Linked DNA regions of Arabidopsis thaliana. The protein of the gene in region 1 purifies or fractionates together with the protein of each later gene. This does not show direct contact. Each region holds a gene or a part of one and is shown in the gene's direction. Other genes may lie near its edges.

What was found. Proteins that work in one complex are often made in the same cells at the same time.
Region 2: the proteins of AT1G09590 (region 1) and AAC2 fractionate together in Arabidopsis thaliana (co-fractionation; one large-scale study listed by BioGRID). This does not show direct contact.
Region 3: the proteins of AT1G09590 (region 1) and AT3G08530 fractionate together in Arabidopsis thaliana (co-fractionation; one large-scale study listed by BioGRID). This does not show direct contact.

The regions. Positions count from the first base shown.
Region 1 is NC_003070.9:3,103,885-3,109,000, forward strand, and holds AT1G09590 (Translation protein SH3-like family protein), read left to right. Parts: upstream 1-2,482; 5' UTR 2,483-2,664; coding exon 2,665-2,901; intron 2,902-3,464; coding exon 3,465-3,722; 3' UTR 3,723-3,917; downstream 3,918-5,116. Other genes in the region: AT1G09580 (emp24/gp25L/p24 family/GOLD family protein), read left to right, coding at 773-991, 1,601-1,813, 1,913-1,989, 2,064-2,208; AT1G09600 (Protein kinase superfamily protein), read left to right, coding at 4,733-5,116.
Region 2 is NC_003076.8:4,333,306-4,339,228, forward strand, and holds AAC2 (ADP/ATP carrier 2), read left to right. Parts: upstream 1-1,966; 5' UTR 1,967-2,262; intron 2,263-2,289; exon of another isoform or gene 2,290-2,370; intron 2,371-2,720; 5' UTR 2,721-2,728; coding exon 2,729-3,214; intron 3,215-3,300; coding exon 3,301-3,675; intron 3,676-3,777; coding exon 3,778-4,074; 3' UTR 4,075-4,389; downstream 4,390-5,923. Other genes in the region: AT5G13500 (Hyp O-arabinosyltransferase-like protein), read left to right, coding at 5,371-5,760, 5,865-5,923. UniProt on the Arabidopsis thaliana protein: ADP:ATP antiporter that mediates import of ADP into the mitochondrial matrix for ATP synthesis, and export of ATP out to fuel the cell.
Region 3 is NC_003074.8:2,591,621-2,597,936, reverse strand, and holds the start of AT3G08530 (Clathrin, heavy chain), read left to right. Parts: upstream 1-2,282; 5' UTR 2,283-2,525; coding exon 2,526-2,570; intron 2,571-2,922; coding exon 2,923-3,127; intron 3,128-3,233; coding exon 3,234-3,322; intron 3,323-3,439; coding exon 3,440-3,518; intron 3,519-3,593; coding exon 3,594-3,721; intron 3,722-3,823; coding exon 3,824-3,922; intron 3,923-4,002; coding exon 4,003-4,111; intron 4,112-4,218; coding exon 4,219-4,298; intron 4,299-4,381; coding exon 4,382-4,609; intron 4,610-4,695; coding exon 4,696-4,761; intron 4,762-4,888; coding exon 4,889-5,005; intron 5,006-5,098; coding exon 5,099-5,296; intron 5,297-5,379; coding exon 5,380-5,496; intron 5,497-5,592; coding exon 5,593-5,652; intron 5,653-5,844; coding exon 5,845-5,931; intron 5,932-6,056; coding exon 6,057-6,140; intron 6,141-6,228; coding exon 6,229-6,316. Other genes in the region: KOB1 (elongation defective 1 protein / ELD1 protein), read right to left, coding at 1-97, 187-295, 454-506, 644-793, 1,038-1,424.

The DNA.
Region 1 (5,116 bases):
CATAGGAAATAAAAACTAGTACATTTTAGGACCCCAGCTAAATATGATGATAATTAATGTAAAAATACGACTTGGGAATTCATATGTTTTTAATGCTCGACTTTTGAGCTGACTTTGCAATAGGCTTACCACTTCCGTTAAAGGATAAGTTTATGAAATTATTAAAACATAACCAAACAATGACATGACGAGTTGTATCTAAGAAGAGATGCAATTAAAAAAACACTTAATCTAAACTAATACTACTTAGTTAGCCTGGCCATACTATTATTAAAGATGTTTTAATCTTATGCAATAGTTTTTTTTTTTGTCAAACAATCTTATGTAATAGTTTAAGTTTGTCAATTTGTCTTATTAAAACAGGAGGAACTGCACAACTCTACCAAAAAAAAAAAAAGTCTCAAAGACTGTGCCAAATCTTGCCTTTATGACTCCAAAGTGCACGTTTATTCAGATAAAGTATTCAAAAAACAACCAAATGGAAATGAGATTAGAGAGCGAGGTTCAGAGATGATGGGCGACTAGTTGCAAATACAAAGTGTTGTTTAAATGAAAAGTGATTAATTATTTATATAGATCTTTATTGGACCCAATGCTATCACCTCATCTCAATTATCAAGCCCATGGGTTGGTCTCATCAAAGCCCAATCAAAGCTTCCCAAACAAAAAGGAATTAAGATGAACAAACAAAAAAAAACACTTCGGAGCAAAAGATCTGGCCACCACAACACAACGATCGACGAATACAATAGGAAAATTTGAAATCTCGTCGATGAAGATGACTGCTAAGATGCGCCGTGAATTCCCGACGGCGTTCCTTCTCTTGTTTCTGGTTCCGGTGATGATTCCGGTCGGTGAGGCTGTATGGCTAGATGTGCCTCCCACCGGAACAAAGTGTGTATCTGAAGAAATCCAGAGCAATGTCGTCGTTTTGGCTGATTACCTCATCATCTCCGAGGATCACGAGGTCATGCCCACTATATCCGTCAAGGTAAGTGTCTTCGATTTTCTGTTCCTATCATCTTGCTTGTTCAGTGATTTGAATCTGCATTTTGTGTTACTCGATCCATAATTTCAACTGATTCATGAGTCACGTTTAGGAATTAGAAAGGCATGTATTAATTCTCGATCCAAGTTTCCTTATTTGGAAAATTATGATCATGCATGTCTTTCTTTGATTGTTTGTTATGATGATTTTCGGATTTGTATAAATGCTCAGATGCTTGTGTATAGCTTAATCCCTGTGAATACCCTTTTTTTTTTGCCGTAATATCAGTAATTAGCTGTGAGATTGAGATAAGAAAAATTGAAACTTTATGTGGTCTTTTAATGAAGTCTGTGTTTTTGATGTGTATGTTTGGGAACAATGATAATTATTACGAACAAGGGAGTTTCTTTTATTGAGCAAGTATCATTTGGTATTTAGTAATCATTGCTATGTGCTAGTTCCAGATAGTTTGATGGATTGTTTAAGATAGTGTCCTTTGGATTGAGAGCAGTCTTTGAAGTCGACTTGAAAAAAGGAATACAATGTTTCTGAATGGTAACCTCTGTTCCTTTTTATTCTTGGCTCTGAGTTTTGAGAATCATTATGGTGCAGGTGACATCCCCATATGGCAACAATCTGCACAATATGGAAAACGTAACGCATGGCCAATTTGCATTTACAACCCAAGAATCAGGGAACTACTTGGCGTGCTTTTGGGCAGATGAAAAGAGTCACGGAAACAAAAATGTTAGCATCAACATTGACTGGAGAACTGGAATCGCTGCTAAGGATTGGGCCTCTATTGCTAAGAAAGAGAAGATCGAGGTTAGCTTTCAAGAGATTTTACAGTTCAGAGAGTGGTATTGCTTATAATTTTGCTTCAAAATATTTCTAAAATTTGTTACTCTATGACAATTGCTTAAGGGTGTGGAGCTGGAGATCAGGAAACTCGAAGGCGCAGTCGAAGCCATCCATGAAAATATACTCTACCTAAGAAACAGGTAAAGTCATCTTCAGCTGCATGAACTGCTCTTGCCTTCTTTGCTGACTCTCATTATCAAAATGGTAATTGCAGAGAAGCAGACATGAGGACAATGAGTGAGAAAACGAACTCGCGGGTGGCTTGGTACAGTATAATGTCACTAGGTGTTTGCATTGCTGTCTCTGGTTTCCAGGTACTCTACTTGAAGCAGTACTTTGAGAAGAAGAAGCTTATATAGAGATTCCCTGATATTCAGGTCCTTTAATGAGAGTTTCTTCTTAAAGAATAATATTCAATTCATCTCCTTTCTTTCCTCTTTACACGCCTCCTTTTTACTGACGCTGTAAAATTTTTGTTCATGGATTGTTTATGTAGCTTCTCTCTGATAAGAAGTCATTATTTCTGATTCTGAAATAATAATATTAACTTCTTGTCATCTCCAAAGTCCAAACGAAAGAGATTCTAGAACCATTGATATTGGGTTGTAACTGATACTTTATGTTAGTTTGGGGCTATAACACGTAAGTTTGACAGTACAAGGGTTAAGATTACAAGAAAAAACTAATCAAATGGGTATTACATACAAATCAGCCCAAATTTCTGACCCAACAGGCCCGTTAAGAGCAAACCCTAATTTCAAAGAGAATATATATAAACCCTAATCACATTTCGCAACCACCAAAGCGGAGGAAAAATGCCGGCTGGACATGGAGTTCGAGCGAGAACGAGGGATCTGTTCGCGAGGCCTTTCAGGAAGAAGGGTTACATTCCTCTATCGACTTACCTGAGGACCTTCAAGGTCGGCGATTACGTCGATGTGAAGGTGAATGGTGCGATCCACAAGGGTATGCCTCACAAGTTCTACCATGGTCGTACTGGTCGTATCTGGAACGTCACCAAGCGCGCCGTCGGTGTTGAAGTCAACAAACAGGTCTGATGATCTCTCACTTCCCTTAAACTTTTGTGTCCTTGAATTAGGATTTGAGCTTGTTGTGCTATTTGGATTGTTGATCTGTTGATTTGATGTTGAAATATGTGATTGAGTATTAGGTTTGTAGAATGTAAACCTTCTACTGTGCTCCAATTTAGCTCAGATTGTTAGTTTTGGCTCAAAGATCTTATCTTCTATTATGCAGTAGTGTGGTTCTTGATCCTGTTTCAGATTTGAAGTTTGATTGCTTAGGTCTCGTTTAGTCTTTAGCCTTAGCATGCATTGCGTTGTATCAATTTGGCCCTTTTTGCATCACAGTTCTAGCTAAGCATCTAGTTTTACTTCTCCATTGAACTGCTAGTATGTTTGGTTTCATGACTATCGCATTGCTCTAGTTTTGCTTTAAATGACCACCAACATTCGTATATTAATCTTGTTTCTATAAGTGTCTTAGAGATGTTATTGTGTAATGCTGATTAGCCTATGACCAGAACACAAACATTTTTGCTAGTACTACTTATATTGGGTATTATGACTGACATATGATGGTGGGGTTGTTTCAGATTGGGAACAGGATCATAAGGAAGAGGATTCATGTTCGTGTGGAGCATGTGCAGCAGTCAAGATGTGCCGAGGAGTTCAAGCTGAGGAAGAAGAAAAACGATGAGCTCAAGGCTGCAGCCAAAGCCAATGGTGAGACCATCAGCACCAAGAGACAGCCTAAAGGACCCAAACCAGGATTCATGGTCGAAGGAATGACCTTGGAGACTGTCACTCCAATCCCCTACGATGTCGTCAACGATCTCAAAGGAGGCTATTAGTTCTATCTTCTTGTGCTTTAGAACTCTTTTTCATTTGTTTTGTAGCAGACTTAAAACTAAGAATTATGATTTACTATATAACAGGAGTTTGCAATCCAGATTTTGTAAGGATGGTTTATTTTTATTATTGGTATTTTTGATCTTCCAACTATTGTTCACTTTTGTCAACGGTGTCTTACGAATTTTAAATATGTCTGAAATTGATTTAATTATGAGCCTCATTTTAAGATACGTTTGACTTGGAGCCCATGGAACTCCAGCACGATGCCACGTAGCGTCTGAGCAACAGAACCTAATTTTGAACACTGAACTCAAAAGAGAAGAAGAAAAGAGTCAAGTCTTGGGTGTCCATTAATGGGAGATCTCTGTTATGTTCAACACTTGCTCGAGAGACAGATAGAAACCAGGCTGCTTCGTCATTGTTTCTCCTCTGAAGCATTTTCGTTATTTCTGTTTGCTGTATTAAAATTTCCTAAAATAGAAAGACTATGAAACCTCATTTCCCTAAAATCTCTCATATTCTTGATAGGCTCTTCGTAATTTCAGGAATCACTCACAATTCCAAATCTCTCTCTCTCTCTCTCTCTCTCTCTCCATTAATCTCAGCATATCTCTTTCTCTCTAACCCACAAGTCTTCCTTTGATTCTTTGATTTCAATTCGTTTTCTTCATACAAAAACATTGAGACACATATTTAATCCATATTTCGAGATCAGTCTTGCTGACCTCAAATTTTCCAGTTTCGTTACATCTACAGAAAAAGCTCCTCTCTTTTTTTTTTGTCTCCCATTTGATTTTAAGATTAGCGTCTAATCCAACAAGTTCCAACAAGGTCTAAAGATCAAAAGCTCAAATCTTTGTTCTTTGTTGGTGGTGTGGGTGGGAAGATTTCATTTTCAGTGGAGAAGAAGAAAAAAGGAAAGATTAGGAAGCTAATCAAAACATACAGTTTCCTGATTCCGGTCAGGAAACTGTGGAGCATTGACGGAATCACGAAGCCGTGGAGAATTATGGGCTGCAATTGCACCAAAGGAACACGGCCTGATAATGATAACGTCGATAACAGCAACAGCATTGTCAGCAATGTCAATGTCAAGGAGAGAAGAAGCAAGCCTAAGAAAACCCCCAAGAAGAAGAAAAAATCAAAATCTGCTTCTTCGAGCAAAGACAACAATGTAGGATTCGAGGAACGAAGCAACGACAATAAAGAAGCCTCCTTGACGTTGTTGATACCCATTGATGCCAAGAAGGATGATGAGTCCGAGAAGAAGGTGAATCTCGAGAGAAAGTCTTCTAGATTGGTGTTTCAGAGACGGCCCACCGGTATTGAGGTTGGTGCCAACAACATAGGGACATTGCAGCAACCTAAGATGACTAGAATATGCAGTGTTAGT
Region 2 (5,923 bases), on another chromosome or scaffold:
CATGGGAATCAAGGCCAGAATCACACAGAACACAAGAACCATGTACATTCATACCCCACTGTAAAAGCCTATCTCTCGTTGTCAACCTTTCATGGGAAGCCATCCAAAGGATAAATGAAAACCTTGGGACAGATTCCTTAAACCAGACAGCTTTATGCCAAGCCACATGAGGAGAAATTTGTCTAATTTGCATCCAAGTTCCTTTCGAAGAGAATGTTTCAGAAAAAGTACCTGTGGGCTGCTTCCATTGGTACCAATCAGCACCTCTTAAAGGAGAAGGCGGGGCAACCGAGGACAAGCAAATCTGCAACTGCTCAGCTTGGTGAGATCTCGCATTGGGAAAATGCCATTGACCTTCATGTGTAGCTTCCCAAACGCTAGCATTTCTACTGATCCGAAGCTCTCTTGGGCCCAACTGACCAAAAAGCTCAATAAGGGGACCAAGGCTTGTCCAATAATCAAACCAGAAAGAGGCTTTCATACCGTCTCGCATCTGACATTTAATCAATCTCTGGAACACAGATTTTACTTCCAACATCTTCCTAATGTTCCAAGATAGACGTGGTGTGCTATCCATCAACCAATAGTTCCTTCTTCCGAAGATGTTATGGTCCAACCACATAACCCACAATGAGCCCCTTCTAGTAAAGAGGTGCCAAACCTGTTTCAACCTGAAAACAGTAGCAAATTCCTCAAGAGATCGAATACCTAACCCACCCTCCTCTTTTGTCTTACAAATGTCCTTCCAAGCAACTCTTGCACCTCTTGCAGACGAAGTAGTATTTTTCCACAAAAAAGCAGAGCAGAGATTGTCAATTTTCTTATAAAAACCCTTTGGTAGAACAAAGACTTGACTCCAGAAGTTCACTTTCCCATAAACAACAGATACTATTAACCGGATTTTCCCAGCATAAGAGAGAAACTTGGTTGTCCAGGAGTTAAGCTGCTCGGTAATCTTTTGAATAAAAGGTTGAAGTGTGGCAAGAGAAAGCTTAGTCGGGTTCAGCGGCAAGCCAAGATACCGAGAGGGAAAAACACCTATTCGAATCCCAATCAAGTCAGCAATAACAGCAGCTTCAGAATCCCCATAACCTCCAAAAAACAGCTCAGACTTTGAAGGGTTCATGTCCAAACCGGAAAAGGAATGGAAAGTTTGCAGTATACCACTAATACCAAGGAGAGAGTGCTGAGAACCATCTGAGAAAACCAATAAATCATCTGCGAAAGCTAGATGAGTTAGGCGAGGAGTGATACACAAAGGATGAGCAGAAAACTTGCCCTCCAACAGCCCACTGTCCAACATTCTGGATAACACCTCCATTACCAAAATAAAGAGATAAGGAGAGATACAATCACCTTGCCTTAAACATGCCTTTATGTGAAGATGAACATATTGACTGATCTTGCACCTTTCCATTTTCAACATGCCTTTATGTGAAGATGAACAAACATGAGCTGAAAACAAAGAAGGTGAAGCACAACCAAAGTGACATAGCATACTTTAGAGCTAGATAGAAGACGTGGGATTTAGAGCTCTTCAAGAGTCAAGGCAAATACATTTGGACTGGGATGAGGCAGCATCACAAGCCTTCCCAACCATTACTGAATCACTTCGACATTCGAAATTCTGACTCAAAACATATGACACCCTGAAGATGACCATTATAGCGATCCACTAAAATTTTGTACAACTAGCCGACGGAGGAGGAGGCGAGGAACGTAACACTGGTGGACTGATATTGTGTTTTTGTTCTTTTTTTTTTTTTTTTCCAAAACACCATTTTTTTTTGTAAATATACTGTTGGTCAAAACAAATATTAAAGATTAAAGCACTTTGACCAAAACAAAATATAAACTAAGAAATATTTGAAACGTTACCCTGTAGACAGTTGACTACAAAAACCCGTCAATGGCCAATAACATTCCAGATTTCCGGCGCCAAATAGGTGGCATGATCTACGGCCGATAACGCAGTCGTATACTTCCATAATTATATTATTCATTTTAGCAATTACAATCAACGGCTCACAATTTCAATCTCGATGATCTAACGGTCCTACAGTCCCCGAGTGTATAGAATAGTGCGTTACACTTGATTCTTTCTAGTGTGACCCTATTTCTGGAGCCAATAAAAGGCTCGTGTCAAAACTCGCCTCTTCCCCACAAAGAGAATTCTCTCATTTCTTCTTCTTCGCTCAGCTCCGACAACGAAGGGCGAAGAATCTCGCTCCCTCAATTTCGCATTGCCATCGATTTTCTTAGGTAATTCTGGTTACTCTGAGATCTCTATCGCTTTAAATCTCGTTGTTTATCTCTGTTCTTCATTTGATTCTATTGATCTGCTTCACAGTCTTATATATCATCAACAAGGTAAAATGATTCGTTTCGTCTTGATGATCTCATGGTTTCTCTGCGTAATCCTAGATTGAATGTAGTGTAGATCTCGTGTGGAGTGTGAATGTATCGAGATCCTGGATTATTCGGCTCTGTTACTCTTATTTTCCGCCATTAAGTTACACTGTTGTATGGATCTGTTTAACCTAAATTTTCTGCGTCTGAATGTGTTCATGGTTTAGTTTCTGATTGCATCGTTTCTACATGTAGCCTCTCTTATGCTTAATGGTGGATAAGTGTTCTATTCCACTGGAGATGCACAATTGCTTTTACTGCACTTTATAGCATATTCCATTTCTTACACTACGGGTTGTTTAATTTTGTAGAGGTTAAAATGGTTGAACAGACTCAGCACCCCACGATTCTTCAGAAGGTTTCTGGCCAACTCTTGAGCTCGAGTGTTTCTCAGGACATTCGTGGTTATGCTTCGGCTTCCAAAAGGCCTGCTACATACCAGAAACATGCAGCTTACGGAAACTACTCCAATGCTGCATTTCAATATCCTCTTGTGGCTGCATCTCAGATTGCAACTACTACTTCTCCTGTGTTTGTCCAAGCTCCAGGAGAGAAGGGATTTACTAACTTTGCTATTGATTTCATGATGGGTGGTGTTTCTGCTGCTGTGTCAAAGACTGCTGCTGCTCCCATTGAGCGTGTCAAGCTTTTGATTCAAAACCAGGATGAGATGCTTAAGGCTGGAAGGCTTACTGAGCCATACAAGGGTATTCGTGACTGTTTCGGCAGGACAATTAGGGATGAAGGTATTGGTTCGTTGTGGAGAGGAAACACCGCTAATGTTATCCGTTACTTCCCCACTCAGGTTGGTTTAGTTTCACTTCTTTGCTTTTTTAAAATGTCTTAGTTATATATGATGTATTGGTTACTGATCTATCTCTCACTTGCTAGGCCTTGAACTTTGCATTCAAAGATTACTTCAAGAGGCTTTTCAACTTCAAGAAAGACAAGGATGGCTACTGGAAGTGGTTTGCTGGTAACTTGGCATCTGGAGGTGCTGCTGGTGCCTCTTCCCTTCTCTTTGTGTACTCTCTTGACTATGCACGTACCCGTCTTGCCAATGACTCCAAGTCTGCCAAGAAGGGAGGAGGTGAAAGGCAGTTCAATGGTCTTGTTGATGTCTACAAGAAGACCCTCAAGTCAGATGGTATTGCTGGACTTTACCGTGGTTTCAACATCTCGTGTGCTGGTATCATTGTCTACCGTGGTCTCTACTTTGGACTGTACGACTCTGTGAAGCCTGTCCTCCTCACTGGAGACCTGCAGGTTTGTTTGAGCTCTATTCTTATATATCTGTAAGGTGACAGCTTAAGAAATCAGGGATCCTGATTCTAATGTTGTTATTTCTTTCCTTGCTGGATATTTCAGGACAGTTTCTTCGCTAGTTTTGCTCTTGGATGGCTCATCACCAATGGTGCGGGTCTTGCGTCGTACCCGATTGACACGGTTAGAAGAAGAATGATGATGACATCAGGTGAAGCGGTGAAGTACAAGAGCTCATTTGATGCGTTCTCACAGATCGTGAAGAAGGAAGGAGCCAAGTCTCTGTTCAAGGGTGCGGGTGCCAACATCCTGCGTGCCGTTGCAGGTGCTGGTGTGCTTGCTGGCTACGACAAGCTGCAGTTAATCGTCTTCGGCAAGAAGTATGGATCTGGAGGTGCCTAAGTACCACCAAATCCCGCAGTCATTAAGCTTCGGCTTTTGTTTTTTTCTCCATTTTTTTTGCAGTTTCAGATTTCTTTTATAAAAAAGATGTTGATGAAATCATTTCCCCATAAAATTAGAGAGGAGCAAGGGGAAATATTATCTGTTCGACGATAAGGTTTTTGTTATATGGAATAAATTTTGTATGGGAGGGAGATTTGACTCCTTCGAACCAGGCTATGTTTTATATGGTGAGGATGTCCCTTTTTATTTTGTTGCTACCGTTGTTGCGGAAGGAAACGTCACTATGTTATTGAAGATTTTACTAACGCGTATTGATGGAAATGTAAGGCGTGGAAAGGTACCACCGTCAAGAAGAGTTCAATGAACCAAGACAAATATCTCTTTAACGTAAAAATGACAGCTACGATCAGATCCTGGCGAGTGGCACGTTTCCACCAAAACACACGAAATAATATGAAGACATATAGAAATAGATAGTTCATATAATCAAATCAGATTGAACGTCGCAAACCAAATCTCAAGTTGTATTATTACCCAACTTACCAAAAAAAAAAGCAGTATTATTGCCCATACTAATTTCTAAAGCATGTTAATTATGTGTGCTAACTTCGATTCACGTATTAGGTTTTTCTTCTTTAATATTCCATGTTTTTTTCTTAAACGTGGTATGCCACAACACTTGCACTTCCTATATTTTTTTCCTGAAATTATATTCAAAGCCATCAGGAGAATTCTTTGGTTTTGATTGGCACGATCCAAAGACACACATTTTGTCAAATCATTTTCGACGACTGTTATTAATAATTAATTCGTTAATGACGCACCGTTAGTCAACTCCGCTTCGTATTAATTACTCCTCCGATCTCTTTCTTATTCTTCTCCGGCGACACTTCCCTTGCTTCTCCCTCTTAGGACTCTCTCTACGAATCTGTAAGCTTCAAATTCTTACGCCACACTCCGAGATTCGCTTCTGATTATTGTACGTTTCTGCTTCTTCCTTCAGATCTTTTACTTTTCTGGAATTCCACACTCTAATTGATCTATTCATTGTGCCCAAAATTATGCATCTCTGGAGCTTTACCCGATTTTAATCGTTGAATTCTCACTAAGTCGAGACCTTTTTGATGGCTGTGTTCTCAATTTGTCAACTTGCATCATTTTTGTTTACAGGTATGAATTTTTGAGCTCCAAGGATCCACTGCCATGTATTTATGCTGCTAAAGCTTGAAGGCAGTAGTGGAATCACCATTAAGTTCTTTGCTTTGTAATTTAGCTTGATTTGAGAATAAACAAATGGGAAAAGCATCAGGCTTGCTTCTGTTTCTCTTGGGTTTTGGGTTCTTTGTTGTCACATATAATCTTCTGACACTTATAGTTCACAATAGATCTGGTGTGAGTAATTCAGATGGAAGTCCACTTCTGGATCCTGTTGTTCAGATGCCTCTAAATATTAGGAAAGCCAAGAGTTCTCCAGCACCTTTTCATGTTGCCTTAACAGCTACAGATGCACCTTATAATAAGTGGCAGTGTCGTATTATGTATTATTGGTATAAGCAGAAGAAAGCTCTTCCTGGTTCTGATATGGGTGGCTTCACCCGTATTTTGCATTCCGGTAATTCTGATAACTTGATGGATGAAATACCCACATTTGTGGTTGATCCTCTTCCTCCAGGTCTTGATCGGGTAAGAATTTTTATTTTATTCCCGTTTCTCCATTTGGTCTCACTTTTTGTTGATGGTTTATCACTGATTCACTCTTTTTTGTAATCTTGTAATCTTGTATTTAGGGGTATGTTGTCTTGAATAGACCATGGGCATTCGTGCAATGGCTTGAAAGAGCTACCAT
Region 3 (6,316 bases), on another chromosome or scaffold:
CATCAAGCAGCAACCGTCTTAGTGAGTACTCACGAGCACCTGCTGGGTATATCAGCTCATCAGTGTCAAGATGAAGTATCCAATCCATGCCCGCATCCTGATATTTAGTAAGAACAAGAAAAATGAGAATGTAACATGAGACATGAGTCAAAACTGAACCAAATAAGGTCTAAAAGAAATACTTACCCTAGCCATGACAATAGCCATTTCCATGTTGAGAGATTGTTTGACAAATAACTCATAATTGCAGGGCTTATAAAAGAAAGACGAAAGCCAGGTCTCATTCCAAATCCGGCTGATGAAACAAAACAAAAAAGAATGACAGTAAAATGATCAGTAGTAGAAAATACAACAAAACAATGCTACAATTTCAGAATATACAACAAAACATGTGTTTAGTGCCTTGAAGAGCTATAGCTTTGTCGCAAATATGCAATGGGATAACTAACTAACCTCTTCGCTTGCTTCTCCTCAAGCTCTTTCGTCCTGTATATTACTTTAACACCCTGCAAGAGACATGGGACTACATTTATCGAAAACTGCATACCTTAAATACAAATTTATACCTACAGGACTAAAGAGCTAGAGATATACAGCCAAAACAAAATAAACAGTGGACGCGAAGAGAGGTAGTTCAACTCACAGGAATAGACTCGAGCACTTTAGAAATACTCGGAGTAGCAGCTTTCCCTTCAACGAAAAGGAAGAATGTTGAGACGCCTAGAACCTTATGGTAGAACATCCATGGTAGAATCTGATCCAATCCAGCTGATGTGCTAGTCGTGATACATATCTGTAAACAGTAACAATGTCAAGAATCATATACAACATGGAGCACAAAAAGTGAGGTGACTTTACAAAGACAGATCTGATCAAAAAATGAACTTTGGTATTTCTCAAATCTCTATAATCCAATAAAAAAAGAACAACTTGATATTTCAGATTAGACATTGTAGTAAGATTTAAGAAAAAAAAAAGGAATTTGGAAGTGTAGATCGATCCAAAGACTTGAAATCAGGGGAATTGAAAGTAGTAACCTTAGGCTTTAAGCTAGTATCAACACCAAACTTCCAATCAGCATAGTAAGGAAAAGAAGGAGAAGAGCTGCGAGCTAGATTTGAGCAGTCGGAGGAGGATTGGTGAGACTTTGGGGAGACAGATGAAACAGTCTCCATGCCGGGAAAGACCTCGTGATTGAGATCGGAGCCGCCAGGAACCGACGTAGAGGAACGAACAGAAGCAGAGGCAGGATCGGCGAGACCACCGCCTCGCCATTGGAGGATAAAGGCGAGACAAGCAAGGGAAACTGGAAGTAGAGTAAGGAGAAGGAGGAGCCTAGAGACGAATGAATGGTTTTGGGAAGAAGATGAAGATGAGGAAGAAGCAGATATTAGTGGAGCTCTGTGATGGTGAGTCGATTTCATGGTTAGCTCCACCACTTTGAAAAACAAAAAAAAGTTTCGGAGGAAGAAGACGAAGAAGAAGAAGAAAGACGCGATTCTGAGATCTTTCTTTTTATTTTATTTTCGTGTTTTGGTCGTCTGAGATCTCATCGGTAAAATTAAACTTTACTAACTAAATCTAATTGATTATCAATTCATCTCATTTTATTATGTATAAAAATTGGGAGATTTTCTTCCATTTTTTTTCTTAATCTTTCTCAACTGGATTTGAATTGATAGATTGGAAACATGTACCAACACAAAGAACAGAAGCAATTACACAGGGAGAAACAAATCTCCACACACTAAGCCACTATAAGCTAATAACAACAATAACCTATACAAAACAACAGAGCCATATAACAAAAAAAAAACCAATTCAACCAGGGGAAATGACTCTTTCATCACAGAAAACTGAATGGAACCAAGACGGATGACTTGATGCAACATACAATTGCAACCTGCAATCATCAGTGATACTCTATGACATAATATTCCTTCTTCTTTTGGATCAGATTAATTAAGTTTTGTTTCTAATTATTAAGTCATGACACTTCTTCCATTCTTAATTATTAAGTTTTTTTTTTCTTGTATCAAATCTTTAATTATTAAGTTTTTTAAAAAAAATTATTAAAAGTCATGACACTTCTTCCATTCTTAATTATTAAGTTTTTTTCTTGGATCAAATCTTAATTATTAAGTCATTTATTGTTGTTTCACCTAAGGTACCTTCATTTAAAAGCACCAATTAAAATATTTCACGTGTCGTCTCATTAGAAATTCGGATGCTTAGAGCCCAGTAAGGACCGATATGGGCCGGACCTGGTTATAAATGTAAGACTCTAATTGGATCGCTGTTCGTCATTACTTACCCATATATATTTGTTATTCTTCTTTTCTCAATTTTCTTTCTCTTTCCATCACCTTTCTCGTTCACTTGCTTCAGATCTGGCAGCGATTTCATTTCTTCTCCAGTCTTTCTCTCGTCTCGGTTCTATCTCCTGGCCATTGGCGGTCAGGACTTCTCAGCCGTATATTTGATTCCGTCCCCGGATTTACTCTTGCTGTGATCTGAGGTCAAACATGGCGGCTGCCAACGCCCCCATCACGATGAAGGAGGTCCTGACGGTGAGTTCTCCTTACTCTTCACTCTTATCTTTGAATATTTAGATGTGTATCTCCTGGAATCGACCGTGATTTTCTACGATTAAGCTCTGTTCAGTCTCTTGATTGATTGATTCCAGTTTCCTACTGATCTGAATTCTGCTCGATCGTTGTGTTACTCTCTAGTTTTTCCGGATCGCTTGTTTGGGAATGCATGTTTCTGATCAGATTTCTCTAACTATGCTCAGATCTGTGTTTCGTTAATATATCAATGCCGAATTTCAAGTTGTTGTCTGTAGCAATGTGCTTATGTACTCGGATCTCATAACTAAATAAATGAACTATTTGACGTAACGCTTCATCTTGATTTTTCCAGCTTCCGAGCATCGGGATCAATCAGCAATTCATCACGTTTACAAATGTTACTATGGAGTCTGACAAGTATATCTGTGTACGAGAGACGTCACCGCAAAACAGTGTTGTAATTATAGATATGAATATGCCGATGCAGCCTCTTAGGAGGCCTATTACTGCAGACTCTGCTCTTATGAACCCAAACTCGAAGATCCTTGCCTTGAAAGGTACTTGATTTTTTCCTTTGATCTAAAACCCATAACGGTTTCCTCGAATTCGTAGTTCATAATCCACTTATCTTGATGTTCACTTTTTACTTCAATATTTATGTAGCTCAAGTTCCAGGAACTACTCAGGATCATCTACAGATATTTAACATTGAAGCCAAAGCAAAGTTGAAATCACATCAGATGCCTGAGCAGGTGAGTGTTGATGCAAATATATTTGAACTCCATTATCGTTCCTGCTATACACTTCGTATAACTCTGAATTTTTCAGTCGGGTTTTTTTTTGGATAATAATGTTTCATGTTTTTACAGGTTGTCTTTTGGAAGTGGATTACACCAAAGATGTTGGGGCTGGTCACACAGAATTCCGTCTATCATTGGTCAATTGAAGGTTGTATATTTCAGCCTACTGTCATTTTCTTCATATCTTGTGTTTTCGTTTCTAATTTTCCTTCGGGTTTTATAGGTGATTCTGAGCCAGTTAAGATGTTTGATAGAACAGCCAATTTGGCCAACAATCAAATTATAAACTATAAGTGCTCTCCTAATGAGAAGTGGTTGGTTTTAATTGGAATTGCTCCTGGCTCTCCTGAGGTAAGTTTACTGCGCCACATATTAGGTCAAAAAAAGACATCAAAACTGCTTTCATGTTGTAGATTCTTGACTGATCTTGTCATTATTATCTGTTTTCTGTAGAGACAACAATTGGTAAAAGGAAATATGCAGCTTTTCTCTGTGGATCAACAGCGGAGTCAGGCCCTTGAGGCACATGCTGCATCGTTTGCGCAGTTTAAGGTAACGTCTTTGTTCTTTGGTGAGTTCATCTATGGTCTAATCTTGAACTGTAGTTTGACTTGCAACACTATTAATATTAGGTTCCTGGGAATGAGAATCCTTCTATTCTTATATCATTTGCAAGCAAGAGCTTTAATGCTGGGCAGATAACATCAAAGTTGCATGTCATTGAGCTTGGTGCCCAACCTGGTTAGCTCCCCGACGCAAAACTATATCTTCACTGTTATTTAATATAATTGGTTACGTTTTCTAGGTTGTATTCATCTGATCTTTAAAGGTTGGCGATTTTTTTGCAGGAAAACCATCATTTACAAAAAAACAAGCAGATCTCTTTTTTCCCCCTGATTTTGCTGATGATTTTCCTGTTGCCATGCAGGTTTGCTATTGCATTAGAATTTCAGTTATATGTGTAAGTAGTTAGTGACAATTTCTGGCACTAATTTCTCATTTTCCTGACAGGTCTCTCACAAATTTAACTTGATATATGTTATCACCAAACTTGGCCTGTTGTTTGTGTACGATCTAGAGACTGCTTCTGCTATCTACAGAAATCGGATTAGTCCAGACCCAATTTTCTTGACTTCTGAAGCTTCCTCAGTTGGGGGTTTCTATGCCATTAATAGGCGAGGACAAGTTCTTTTGGCTACAGTAAACGAGGCTACCATTATACCTTTTATTAGTGGCCAAGTATGCTAATCTTTTATGCTATTTTCCCGTTATAACCTACCCTTTTCATCATGTCATGCTAAGAAATCTATGCTTTTGTATCACAGTTGAACAATTTGGAGCTTGCTGTCAATCTTGCTAAAAGAGGAAACCTCCCAGGTGCAGAAAATCTGGTATGCGATGTTTATCATGGATCTGTTGTCTCGGTGAAGTAATTATATAGTTGTTAAATGGCAGCTTGAAGAAAAAAAATGTCATTTGGTATTGTGAAGTTTCTCATATTCTGCTCGGATGTTGTAGGTTGTCCAGCGGTTCCAGGAGTTGTTCGCTCAAACAAAGTACAAGGAGGCTGCTGAGCTTGCTGCTGAATCTCCTCAAGGAATTCTAAGGACACCTGATACAGTGGCCAAATTCCAGGTGTCTATTTCATATCCAAGCAACTATGTGTAAACATGTTTATTTATGATGAAATGTTGGTAACACCAATTTTTCAACTCTATAATTTTGCAGAGTGTTCCTGTACAAGCTGGACAAACTCCTCCATTGTTACAGTATTTTGGGACTCTTTTGACTAGAGGGAAACTCAATTCATATGAGTCACTGGAACTATCTCGGCTGGTTGTGAACCAAAACAAGAAGAACCTCCTGGAAAACTGGTTGGCAGAGGATAAACTAGAATGCAGTGAAGAACTTGGAGACCTTGTGAAGGTAATCTTGAAATGGACGATTTTATTCAAAATGTGTGATATGTCTCCTATGGTGTGTTGTGACGATAAACCTTTCTGTTCCAGACTGTGGATAATGATCTCGCTCTGAAAATATACATCAAAGCTCGGGCGACTCCAAAAGTTGTAGCAGCTTTTGCAGAAAGAAGGGAGTTTGACAAAATACTGATTTACTCAAAGCAGGTAAGCAATAAGATCTATAGTATAACCTCTTCTATTATTTTTACCCTAAAGTTCTGTTGTCTCATGAATTACCATTGTTTCATATTGTGACTTCAGGTTGGGTACACACCTGATTACCTGTTTCTTCTGCAAACCATACTCCGTACAGATCCTCAGGTTAGTGTGGTGCACTCTTGATACTTGCAACATACTAAACTATGAAAGGACTTTACTGAATATATGTGGCGTAAGCACTGGAAGAGTTATGAATCAACTAACTTGTTGAATAATTTGACCTGATGTTATATAGAATGAAGAATCTTTTTCCCACCGTATTAATATCAATAGTCTTTTAATTTTTATTTGCAGGGAGCAGTAAATTTTGCATTAATGATGTCTCAAATGGAAGGAGGTTCTCCAGTTGACTACAACACCATCACTGATCTTTTTCTTCAGGTAGGTCAATATATTCTGTATGCACCAATATTTGTAGCTCATTACTTGTTCTACTCCTATATACAGAATTGTATACAGTAGATGTAAATTATCATGTGCTTATTTGTCTATTTGTGCATATTCAGAGAAATCTGATCCGTGAAGCGACTTCTTTCCTTCTGGATGTGCTAAAGCCAAATTTACCTGAGCATGCTTTTCTGCAAACTAAGGTTGAAAATAGTTGCCACCTTGTATCTCTCCGTTTTTTTCTCTACTCACCTTCTTTCCCCAGACTGTTTAAATCATTTTTCAACACAGGTTCTGGAGATAAATTTGGTAACTTTTCCTAATGTGGCTGATGCGGTATTAGCAAATGGGATGTTCACCCACTATGACCGGCCTCGCA